Arabidopsis thaliana: one gene and its partner. The protein of the gene in region 1 purifies or fractionates together with the protein of each later gene. This does not show direct contact. Each region holds a gene or a part of one and is shown in the gene's direction. Other genes may lie near its edges.

The links.
Region 2: the proteins of SUB (region 1) and OS9 purify together in Arabidopsis thaliana (affinity purification with western blotting, with the first as the bait; one study listed by BioGRID). This does not show direct contact.

Annotation. Positions count from the first base shown.
Region 1 is NC_003070.9:3,720,733-3,728,138, forward strand, and holds SUB (Leucine-rich repeat protein kinase family protein), read left to right. Parts: upstream 1-1,975; 5' UTR 1,976-2,402; coding exon 2,403-2,493; intron 2,494-2,836; exon of another isoform or gene 2,837-2,870; coding exon 2,871-3,000; intron 3,001-3,097; coding exon 3,098-3,169; intron 3,170-3,334; coding exon 3,335-3,400; intron 3,401-3,491; coding exon 3,492-3,563; intron 3,564-3,646; coding exon 3,647-3,718; intron 3,719-3,797; coding exon 3,798-3,869; intron 3,870-3,943; coding exon 3,944-4,009; intron 4,010-4,106; coding exon 4,107-4,172; intron 4,173-4,255; coding exon 4,256-4,749; intron 4,750-4,845; coding exon 4,846-5,204; intron 5,205-5,294; coding exon 5,295-5,566; intron 5,567-5,639; coding exon 5,640-5,778; intron 5,779-5,861; coding exon 5,862-5,977; intron 5,978-6,113; coding exon 6,114-6,270; intron 6,271-6,383; coding exon 6,384-6,446; 3' UTR 6,447-6,718; downstream 6,719-7,406. Other genes in the region: AT1G11145 (hypothetical protein (DUF674)), read right to left, coding at 6,800-6,904, 6,980-7,312, 7,384-7,406. UniProt on the Arabidopsis thaliana protein: Regulates the expression of transcription factors that define the cell fates.
Region 2 is NC_003076.8:13,353,645-13,358,746, reverse strand, and holds OS9 (ER lectin-like protein), read left to right. Parts: upstream 1-1,862; 5' UTR 1,863-2,021; coding exon 2,022-2,115; intron 2,116-2,192; coding exon 2,193-2,269; intron 2,270-2,991; coding exon 2,992-3,195; intron 3,196-3,272; coding exon 3,273-3,347; intron 3,348-3,439; coding exon 3,440-3,534; intron 3,535-3,615; coding exon 3,616-3,682; intron 3,683-3,759; coding exon 3,760-3,866; intron 3,867-4,065; coding exon 4,066-4,195; 3' UTR 4,196-4,591; downstream 4,592-5,102. Other genes in the region: AT5G35090 (uncharacterized protein), read right to left, coding at 1-211. UniProt on the Arabidopsis thaliana protein: Lectin which functions in endoplasmic reticulum (ER) quality control and ER-associated degradation (ERAD).

The DNA of each region.
Region 1 (7,406 bases):
AAACTAATTTAGAAAGTTTGAGTGTATCATACTTGTGTATATTGGAAAATGAAAATGGAACGAGACAATTCAATAGTTCTGATCAATTTAATATTTTCAAAACGATCAAGTGCATAACAGCAAATTGTATCCAAGTATCGTCTAACAAATTCTTTTAAGTTCTTTTTTTGACTTTTCATAATCTATAGAACTTTTTCTTTGAAGCTTCTTGATGTAAAATGGTAGGGCGGAAAAAGCTAGGGTGATGTAAAACCAAAACTTGAACCAAAATTCGTGTAGATACGTAACTAGATTTGATTTAAATAAATAAAACATTCGTTATGTGCCTTGGATCCTCTGGCTAACGGGTGACCATAAAGTAGTGTTGCATTCTTTAATTTTGTTTCGCCTTTTGCGTAATGAGAGACCATATTATAAAATAAAGCCTAACTTTACAATATCTGTATTTTTTCCTCGACACTCTTTTTTAAGAGACCAATAGTTTGAATTCATTATCATGCATCTTCCAATCTCATAACTAATTTGGTATGCATGTATAAGTGCTACAATCATTATTATATGGGGTTTCTGATTTTTTGAAGTACAAGAATCAAAATGAATCCAACCTGATTGGTGTAGTTTTGGGTCGAGTTCGGTCGAAACAAAAATTTGATTCGGTATTATTTATTTGATTTTGGTTCGGTTTATTATGGTTGGCACTTGGCATATTGGTTTTGAAAAAAAAAAATGTTATCATGTACGATTTTTTTTGGGTGCAAAAAAGCATCATGTACGATAGTTTTCTACTTTTCTTCAAAGATTGAAAGTAACCGTTGCAATCTCATTGCATTATTAGGCCTACGAGAGGTATCTTCTTTCAAGTGGGCTTTACCATTACACTATTGACCAAGTTTGGGCCACATTTGGTTTGAATAGCCCATAAGAATGTGGTTTTTTTTTTTTAACTAGTCGCAACTTATTATCGTGTATGGTGTGAACTTGATTGATTTTGACAAGCCAAAAAAATCGATTGATAATTAATTGATCTCGACAAAATAAAAATCTAATATCAACACATAAGCTCACCAAGCATGTTTTATTCTTTATTGATCATACAATGTATGTTTGCTGTTATTATTCGGGTTGCAAATAATTTATGTGAATATCAGAACTTCAGAAGTAACTCCTACCAAAAAAGGAACTTGAGAAGTAATCACATATGAATATCGAAGTTACTCTCATCTCAAATTATGCAATGATGGCATTCCATTAAATTACTACTATTGAATTGTACACAAATCCTCCATCACATCAACCAACAAACAAAGAATAATACAAATTAAGAATATATTCCAAAGAAATTGATAAATAGTGATTGTTAGTTGTAACTGTAAACACAAAACCAGAATTCTTAATTATTAATAGAAAAACAAAGGTTTCGAATGGTAACCAAAATGCACCGTGCAATCATACATATAACATTAGTTAGTTATTTTTAGAATATATTGAAAAGATAATTATTGTATAATTACTAAGTATATTCAATTTAAAGTCGTAAGAAAAAACCCTTTATTGGCTCTAATTGTTTAAAAACATATATTAGGATTCACTAAGATGTATAATTGAAATCAATTTCCAAACCATGTAAAAGTACTAGTTTTCTCAAATAGTTTGTTGCTATTAGTTTGTTACTAAAACTAATTCACACATTTTTATCACCAAAAGAGCAAAAATGGACGTGGGATGAATATGATGATATTTTTTTTGACCTTGTTGTAGGGTCTCTCACTCTCTTCTTCCATTAAAGAATTCTCAGAGCTTTTCTTACTTCAACTGTTTTCTTGGCCCATCTCACTGAAATAAGTGTGATAAACTCTGCCTGTTACATTATTTGGATTTTAATAGGTGAAGTAACGGAATATGTAATCTACATCAAAATAATATTCACTTCTATCTCTCTACCTTATGGCATTAGAAAAATCCAATTATTACATGAAAGGAAACTATAGTAATTAGATGAAGCATAGAAGCGACAATTAAAAGACATAAAGAGAGACAAGTCTTGGCAAGTTTTCTCTGTTTCACACTTTGGAGACGAAACCTTAAAGGCTTAAAACTGAGAAAAACAAAGCCGTTGGCTTTTGTAAGCCGCTCGTTCTTCGAGACAAAACACACTACACTCTTTCTCTCTCACTCACTCTTCATCTCTTTTCTTCTTTCTCTCTCTCCTAAAAATCCGACGAAATTATGATTCACTTTACCTTTTAATCAGGAATATCCCTGTTTCACCCTTCTTCTTCTTCTTCTTCTTCTTCTTCCTCGTGTTTTTTTTCCATAACATTCCCTCTGAATCTTCGTTTTTTATTGGAAAGAAACAATCTAATCCAAGTTCAAGGGTTTTCTCATCTTCAGTGGCTGAAGTTATGAGCTTTACAAGATGGGAAGTGTTCTTTGGTCTCTCTGTTTTAGCCTTGACAATGCCTTTCTCAGCTGGAGTTACTAATCTACGAGATGGTAATAATCTTTCTCTGCAAAGTTTTTTTTATTTGGATTTTGCTTTGACTCTCCTTCTTTTGGTTTAGTGAACACTCTAGATTTTTTTTAGACTTGTGTCTAGTGAAAATGACTTACATCAGTTTTAGGGTAAACTAGGTAAGCAATATAGCTGTTTGGGAAGCTCCAGATTGGCAAAGTTCTATGATTTTGAGGCTACCTCAAAAACCCTAAAAAGTTTAGGTTTTTGACACATAAGCTCTTGTTAGGGTTTTAGTTCAAGACCAAGAAATTTGTTCTTATTGTTCTTCATTAAATGGTTATCATAAGAAAGATTCTTTAATCTCTAGAAATTTTACTTTTTGATGTGTTTGTCTGTTGTTTAATAACTTCTGCAGTTTCGGCGATTAATAACTTGTATATCACTTTGGGAGCACCATCTCTACATCATTGGCTTGCTTTTGGAGGAGACCCTTGTGGAGAAAAGTGGCAAGGTGTGGTGTGTGACTCCTCAAACATCACAGAAATGTATACTTCCTCTTCTGCTCTTGTAACTCTTTGTTATGGTTTGCTTTGAGTCACCAATTCAGGTTCTAACCACGTGAATTATTGTTGTTGGCTGCAGAAGGATACCTGGCATGAAGGTAGGTGGAGGCTTAAGTGATACTCTGGCTGATTTTTCATCTATCCAAGTCATGTAAGCAAAGCTTCTTGTCTTGTTTTCTTTCATCTTCATCTTTTGTATGAGGCTTCTTGCTATGTGAAGAACATGCAAGATGTTGTTACCATTGACTATAAGGTTTGGTTATAATCTTGAATTGCTTTGTGATACTTTTTCTCTCTTCTTTGTTTGAGTGGACAGGGACTTCAGTAGCAATCATATTTCAGGGACAATTCCGCAGGCTTTGCCTTCTTCCATCCGAAACCTGTGCGTTTGAGAATTGACTATGTGTATGGCAATACTTATGTTTCCAACAGTTAAAAGACACTTCATGTTTGGTTTCATTTTCTTGTTTCAGATCTCTCTCAAGCAATCGCTTCACTGGGAACATTCCCTTTACATTGTCCTTTCTATCCGATTTGTCTGAACTGTAAGTCTTTATTAATGTAGATACCGTTTCTTGCATCTGCGGTTTTTCCTCTGTTTGAAGCAGACTCTTTCTTTTCCCTTCAGGTCATTGGGAAGCAATCTTCTATCAGGAGAGATACCAGATTACTTTCAGCAGCTATCAAAACTGACAAAACTGTATATTTCCTCCTCACTAAGTCTCATTTTGTATCCTCCCATCAGCGTCTTTCATTTATACATTAAGTTTCTAATGCAGGGACTTATCGTCTAACATACTGGAGGGGCATTTACCTTCTTCCATGGGAGACTTAGCTTCTCTTAAGATATTGTAAGTGCACATATATGAAACCGTATACAAACATTGTTATCATTGCTTTTATATGTGATGTGGTCGGACTGTAGGTATTTGCAGGACAACAAGCTCACAGGAACACTTGATGTTATAGAGGATCTTTTCTTAACCGATTTGTAATCGTTTTTCACCTTGCATACTCTTTGTTCTTGACTCTCCAACCATTAAGCCAACTTCAGTATCTCACTATGGCTTTTCATATTTTTGATTCAGGAATGTAGAAAACAACTTATTCTCGGGACCTATACCGCCAAATCTATTGAAAATTCCAAACTTCAAGTAAGTATTACTAAAAGAAAACTTGAATGTTTTTTTTTTCCTTTTCTTTAGCCATTCATGTTACATTGTCATTATAACCGCAGAAAAGATGGAACTCCGTTCAATACATCGATTATAACACCACCGCCTCCGCCTGTGGTTGATCCTCCTCCCGCTACTCACCGTGCTCCTCCTGTTCCCCGTATCCCTCCTGTTTCTGGTGTTCCCCCAGCACCTTTTGCTCCTTTTGCTCCACTGCAACCACAACAACATCCACCACCATCACCACCTCTGGTCTGGTCACCACCTTCTTCTGATAATGGAGGAGGAGATCCCTGGAACTCTGTGTCAGGGCAACCTACCTTGCAAATATCACCTCCTTCAGGTTCAGGATCAGGAAAATTCTGGTCCACTCAAAGAATCATTCTAGTAGTTTCTTCAGTGGCCATAATTGTTCTTGTATCCGGTTTGTGTGTTACACTTTGGAGATGTTGCAGAAGTAAAATATATAACCGATATTACAGTGGAGCTCGTAAAGATTTACAACGACCATACTTCAATAAGCCTCCATCTCAACCAACCCCCACTATGGGAAAAGGTACACTGATTCTTTTCCTTCCAAGAAAAGAAAAGAAACTTGTGCTTTGGCTCATTACCTAACGGCAAACTGCTGTGGTGTTTTCTTTTGTTGCAGTTTCTCGGGAGCCTATGGTTAAGCCTTTCGATGGATATGGAGCTGGAGACAGGAAATATGGGTATCCAATGCCACAGCGGGCTGAAGAGAGCCGGAGAGCAATGCCTCCTACTTCATATTATAATAAGGATGTTAATACACCTCAAAAGCCGCTGCAACAACCACCGAGGCAGTTCCAGTCCAATGATACTGCTTCAAAGAGAGCGGCTCATTTCCCCCCGGGCTTGAATTCCTCATCTTCTGCTACTGTTTTCACCATTGCTTCACTTCAGCAATACACAAATAATTTCTCAGAAGAGAATATAATCGGGGAAGGGTCGATTGGTAATGTCTACAGAGCTGAGCTTCGTCATGGAAAGGTGTGACACTTTCCTCTTATTTGTCATTTGGTCTTACAGTATTTTATGCTGTGCATTCTTATTTACGTCTTGACACGTTGTGATCTATAGTTTCTTGCGGTGAAGAAGCTGAGCAATACCATCAACAGAACACAGAGTGACGGCGAATTCCTCAATCTAGTCTCCAATGTGTTGAAGCTTAAACGCGGTCATATATTGGAGCTTCTTGGTTACTGTAACGAGTTTGGTCAAAGGTTACTTGTGTATGAGTACTGTCCTAATGGATCACTTCAAGATGCACTACATTTGGATCGCAAGTTGCACAAGAAGCTCACTTGGAATGTACGTATAAATATTGCATTAGGAGCTTCAAAGGCATTGCAGTAAGTTAAAGAACCTCAACATGTTACGCCAATCTATATTTGGAACATATAGGATCTTAGAGTTTGGTTTCAGGTTTCTTCATGAGGTATGTCAACCGCCGGTTGTTCACCAGAATTTCAAGTCTTCCAAGGTTCTTCTTGATGGAAAGCTCTCAGTACGTGTTGCAGACAGCGGTTTGGCTTATATGTTACCACCACGCCCAACGAGTCAGGTAAATTTGTCATCTTATTTTGAAGATCCCAAACATAAGAGTGAGTGTTGTAAAGGATATGATGTTTGCTTATAAAATTGTAGATGGCGGGTTATGCCGCTCCTGAGGTTGAGTATGGAAGCTACACTTGTCAGAGCGACGTATTTAGCCTTGGGGTTGTAATGTTAGAACTGCTCACTGGACGCAGACCATTTGACAGGTTAGCTACTCTAAAGAGACAACTAATAGAAGCCATAAAAGAGTCTGAACTCAAAAGTCAACATGTTCACTTATGTTTCTTATGCAAAATCACTGTACTACACTATCTCAAGACAAAACCCTGTTTTTTTTTGCAGGACAAGGCCGAGGGGACATCAAACACTAGCTCAGTGGGCGATTCCTCGGCTTCATGACATCGATGCGTTGACAAGAATGGTTGATCCGTCATTACACGGAGCGTATCCAATGAAATCATTGTCACGTTTTGCAGATATCATATCACGTTCACTGCAGGTAAACTTAACTTCATTCATCACTTAACTAGATGAGAAAGCAATGTCAAACACGTGACATCAGAATATTAACTAACCCTTTTGACTTCTGTGCATGCTTATCTTTGTCTGTAGATGGAACCAGGATTTAGACCGCCGATATCAGAAATAGTCCAAGATCTTCAACATATGATCTAAGATACACAACCTTGGACTAAGACGCAGAAGCAATAGTTTATTGTCAGATTCTTGTTCTTTGTCCTTTGATGAATGAAAGTATTTCTTTTGTATTATAATAACACTTTATGTATGTTGTTGGCTGTATGAAATGAGCTATGGGATCATCATTATGTAACCCCAATCCCATTACCGGCTCAAACATTATTCACCAACCTGATCATGTATTTAGATTCTATTTTCTGAAAAGGATAAACATTTTTTGAATCAAAAGACATTAAAATTCAAGAACAAAAGGTTGTACTTAACAGTAGTGTAAAAGAGAAGGTAACTTGTTCAACTAGCACTGTAGACAACAAAACCTAAACTTCAAATCAATCTGCTCCACAGAGGGCATGTGATTGATGCTTTAGAGTCGTTTCTCTGAAAGAAAGCTCCCGAAAGCCGTAGTCAAGGCAGTGGATGTCACGAATGAGGCTCTTAGTAAACCTATGGCCTGGATTAGTGTCAGATTCAAAAAAAAATATCAGGAAAGAATAGTAATATAGATATACATGTGTTTTGCCAATGTTGATTTCATGCTCAAAAATATCGTCCAAGTTCACATCAAACTTCTTCTTTACGCAAATAGTAAGATCATCTGAGACAATGTATGTTGCCCCTCTCTTAACTAACCCATTGCTACCATGAGGTGTCGACTGAGAACTACCGTCACTGTTTAAATAACTGACCCCAAGCAACGGTTTCTGCAAACTATATTGCCAAGGAAGCATACATGTGTTAGTAGATGCATCTGTGCCTCCCCTAGAGCTCAAGTCCTTCAAGCTTCTACAAAAGTTGCCAATGCATACTAGGTCGATATTGCTTCCAGTGATTTCCCATACAGACTCCAAAGGGATAGCAAGGAAAATGAAAAGTAGATCCACAAAAAGTCGTGTCCGCTTTCAGCGTCAAGAACCTTCATGTCCTGCTTCCTAGCAA
Region 2 (5,102 bases), on another chromosome or scaffold:
ACAACGTCCTAGTGAGTCTTGGAGATTTGGTCTTCATTCCACCACCATGTGGGCTTTGTGTAGATTTCTCGGTGGTGACCGGGGATGATGGTAGGTCGTCGGGAATGTTGTCGTGGTGGTGATGATTGGTCGTACGAAAACATCCGGCGATGCAAAACCTTGATTTGAGTTTCTTTTGTAGAGACAAGTTGGTCATTGTTTCGCTTCCCATTTTTTTTTTACAAAACCAATGTTTGTTGGTTAGATCAACAAAGGAATGCAAAAGAGAAGGAAGACATTGAAAGAAAGATCAAATCTGTATTAGAGGAAAGAAAAACAAAACAGAAAACAAGTGATCGACGAGATATTTGGTTGATTTTCATTTATTATTTTTTCTTGAAATGAACTGTTTAACCAAAACTTCGGAGGAGAAGTTGAAATTCTTTACTATTTTAGGAATATTTGAATTTCCAATTAAAATGAGGTTCAATTTTGTTTCACGTTAAATATTAATGAGTCTTTTGACTTTGTGAGCAAGGGGGGACATATTTAGGGTAGGAAAAATAATATTTATAGTAATTTATTAAATTAGTTAAGATTATAAAGTTAAAAGGATAATATGAAAATTTTGGACCAATTTTGATTTGTGAATATAGTAACGGCATAGCTAAAGCCTAAAAACATTTAATATTAAAAGACCTCATTGGATTTTATTTTCTCGACTGTCACATTTTTGTTTTGGCAGAGGTCTTTTATCCATGTAACTCTATTCAGTATCCACAAACAGTTTTGGAGGATCAATATGGGCCTTAGAAATGAATTAAGATCATACTTCACTAGAGAATGTGCACTCAAAGAATGTGTTGCGAGGTTTCATCGTTAAATTTGCATTAAAGGTAAGGAACTTGAAGATCCCATAGCAAAATTCCATCTCTTTGGTGAAGTCGTTGTCTAGTTGTCACCGAAGCTATAAAGGCATACTTGGAAATCCTTCATTTGAACCAAATTATTTGCTGCCAGGCTGCCAGCAGTGCCTGTCTTGTGAAAAATGAGGCTCAAAATAACTTTTTTTTTATGGGTTTATAGAAGAATTTTTTTTTTTTGAGACCAAATCTTAAAATGTTATGAAAATGAAACCTATGTATTCAATAGAAAATAGATAAAAATTAAAAATTGAGACTAAATCTAAAAAATTTAGAAAATGAGGCAACAAATATTTTTGAGGTATAATTTTGATACTAAAAACCTTAAAACTTTTGGTGGCTCAATACCCATGTTTCTTAGAAATATGTCATGGGCCGGGCCTGACTGCCAGTCAATGGAAGGACCATGAGGGTGTAGATAATGCTATATATTTGAGATTGTAAATATAGCTGATAAACTATATTTACAACGAAAAATATTTAAATTCTGACTTAGTTAATGTAAGTTTAGGCATAATGGAAACTTTTGTTTATAAATACGATAAAATAAGCCGTGGGAAAATCGTTTTCGCACTTTCGCTTTAAACTTTTACTCATAATTGGTTTGAAATTTAAATCAATGAAAAAACTAAGTTAAAACTTTAAATTGCTTCAACCTTAGTTGGTTTTTTGTAAGTTCTTCTTATTTTTTTCTTGTTTATGTTAGATATGATTTTTCATCAATAAAAGTAGACGTTAAAAAAAAAAAATTACAAATCATTTATATAAAATTGTTGCATTTTCGAAAGAATTTTTTTATAGTTTCCATTTGATTTTTGTTTCTAGAAGTGTAATAAGAAAATAAATCCACTTTTAAGTTTTGATGAATTGGATAACCGGTTTGAACGAAACCTGGTTTTGATGAAATTTTTCCCGACACTGTAACACGATAATTAGATTTGTTGAGTTATAACATTACGTGTCGAATTTTAATTGGATGTCCTGCGTGGCCGTCTTATTAGTCACATCACCGCAGCTAATAACACTCGACGAGCGACCTCATCGTCTACATCGCCGTCGCCTGTTACCGTCCGGTGCTATTCTCCTTCACAATCTCACATTTTTCGTACCGGTTAGAAGATGAGAATCACGCAGATCTTGTTATGTCTGGTAATAGTGGCATTGTCTTCAAGCTCCCATGTCTGGTCCGATCAGATCTTCCCAGCTCATCTAGGTCTATATCATTTCCTCTCTTCTCATAATTTTCCGATCAATTTCGAGTTTTGTCTTGATTCAATGTTTTATGTATAGTTGGAACATTCAGCAGAAACAATCGTGAACCAAAGTACAAGATTGAGTTCCTTCCTGAAGATTCACCTTTTCACCCGGTAATAACGCAATCTTAAGATAGATTTCAAAAAGCTTAATTTTTGCACTAATTGAATATTAATAGTAGAGATTCTCTGTGATTTTGGTGTTTGATCTCTAATATTGTTATTAGTCACACTTTAGATAGATTTGAAGCTTACGTTTTCTCTATGACATGATTTACTATGAGTAGAGATAGTTGTAACATAGAGATTGTCACTAACAGGGTTAGAATCTGGAATCTATGGTTATGGTGGATTAGATTAGCTTTTTTAAATCACAATTTAGATTGATTTGAAGCTTATTTTTGCCATGTGACCTGAGTTACAATGATTAGTGATAGTTGTAACATAGAGATCCTCCGTTGTTTTGGTGTTTTTTATTCTCTAATATTGTTGTTTATATGGTGGTAATCTGGAATCTGTGGTTACGATGGATAAGAGTATAGTAGTTTTGAAACTTATTTTGCACTTTGATCTTAAGTTACAATGAGTAGAGATAGTTTTAAGTTAGAGATCCTCTGTGGTTTTGGTGTTTAGATTCTCTAGTATTGTTTTGTATAGGGTGAGAATCTGGAATCTATTGTTATGGTCGATAAGTGTTGGCTTTTTTTTTTATCACAAGCTATTGATTTAAAGCTTATTTTTCACTTTGACATGAGTTACATTGAGTAGAGATAGTTGTAACATAGAGATCCCTCTATGATTTTGGCGTTTTGGTTCGCTAATATTGGCTTTTATAGGGTGATAATCTGGAATCAATGGTTATGTTGGATAAGCATGGAAATCGGTTTTTATGTTACTTACCGAAAGAGGAAAAAGCGACGAGTGGATGGACTTCTAGTCAGCAAAATATTAGTACTGTGATGATGGAAACACAGCAACTGGTGAAGCTAAAGACTCCTGATGAATTGCTTCAACCACTTAGTGAAAAATGTCTTTTTAGGGTAAGCATTTCAAAAATGGTTTCTTTTGACCCTATTTAACAAATTCTTGAAACTAATCCCTCCCTGGATTTGAGCAGCAAGAGGGTTGGTGGTCTTATGAGTTTTGTCATCAGAAGTATGTGCGGCAGCTACACGTTGAGGATGAAAACAAGGTTGGCTTTTATTGGTTCTCTTTTCTTACTCTTCTTTAATCCTTCATTGAATCACAATCTAATGGTATGGCCCTTGTATCCTGCCACTGCAGATTGTTCAAGAGTTTTTTTTGGGTACTTTTGACCCAGAGGCAACTGCGGCGTTTAATCAAACTGTTTCTGATGCTTCAACTGATGCATCTCAGAGGTATAAGCTGAGGTTTTACATAACCTTTATAGCAGCAGAAAGATATATCTCAGCTAATCTGTTATGGTGGTGTGGTTGCAGGTATCACTCTCATGTATACACCAATGGGACCACCTGTGATCTTACAGGATCACCTCGCGAAGTCGAGGTATGTAATCTAGTTTACTACATTGCATTTGGGCTCATTGAATTATGATTCATTATGCTTGAAATTGCTCTATGCAGGTGAGGTTTGTATGCGCAGAAACAAGGGCAATGGTCACTTCAATCACTGAATTATCAACTTGCAAGTACGCACTGACTGTTCAGTGCCCAACCTTGTGCAAGCATCCGTAAGCAAAATCTCATTTACTTGAAAACCAGTTTTCAAAGTGAATTTACTCCTGCTCCATTGAAAGACCATGTCGTAACGGAAACACTAGTGTAACTATATGTTTCATCTTGAATGCTAATTACCAAACACGAGTCACTGCTTTATAAGTAAGCTTATGATCCGTTAGTTTGTTAACCTTGTTCTTGTGGAAATTGAAGGCTGTTCCAGCTAGAGAAACCAGTGTCACACACGATCCACTGCAATGCGATCCCAGTGGAAGAAGACGCAACAAGAAACAAGGAAGAACAAGCAGTAGACGAATCACCTAAGATGATAGCTGATTCTTGAAAACCGCCTAAGTGAATCACCTAAGAGTAAGAGTTAACAGCGACTGTATATACAAGAACTAGCATATCTCCATTTTCAGTGTTACCCGCTGTAGTGATCATGGTTTCAATTGGGATCGCTTGCTGGTAGGATGATGATACTCTCTCTGTAATTTTTTGCATACTTAAAATAGCATTTCAATAGAAGGTACTGATAAACCACTTGTGAAGCAAAGACTGCAAGCTTCATGTAACACATATGTTTCCGTTTCACTAATGAATTTGTTCCAAGTGTAGGCTGATTTTGTGTGTGTTTCTTCTATTTTGGTAAAGTTATATATTTGTAATCGAAGAATATGTTTACAAATTGATATTTAAAGTAAATTTGACAACTAAAAACCTTTGGTTTTTAACAAGTTGAGAAGATAAGAAATAAGAGAGAACGCCTTTTTTTCTGTGTCCAGAACCACTTGACTCCCTAGAGCTGCCTAGTTCAAACAAATGACAAATGTGAAACGCAAATTTCAATTTTTGAGCTTCATTAATGTCATATTGGTATAAACAATAATCATTAGTGATTATCCATCTAGTTTTTGATTTTATTTATATAAGACTTAGCCATTAAAAGTCTTTCTCTCCAAGCTACAAAACTTCATCACCAAATCTTTTGTTTGTATATATATGGTTGTTCGTTGTTAATCATAAGACATAAGATGAAAAGCAAACAATTATTTTTTTTCTCGTCTACTCTCTCACTCTCATATTTCTATTTTTATAATATTTTTTTTTTGCTTATGATTTATAACACGTTATCAGCATGATGTCTTTACCGCTTGAGCGTTTATGAGATAAGTAAAATTTATGGTATTTAATTCGTTTATGTTTATAGAATAGAAATATTTTAGACATCGTGATTCGTAAGACTATGC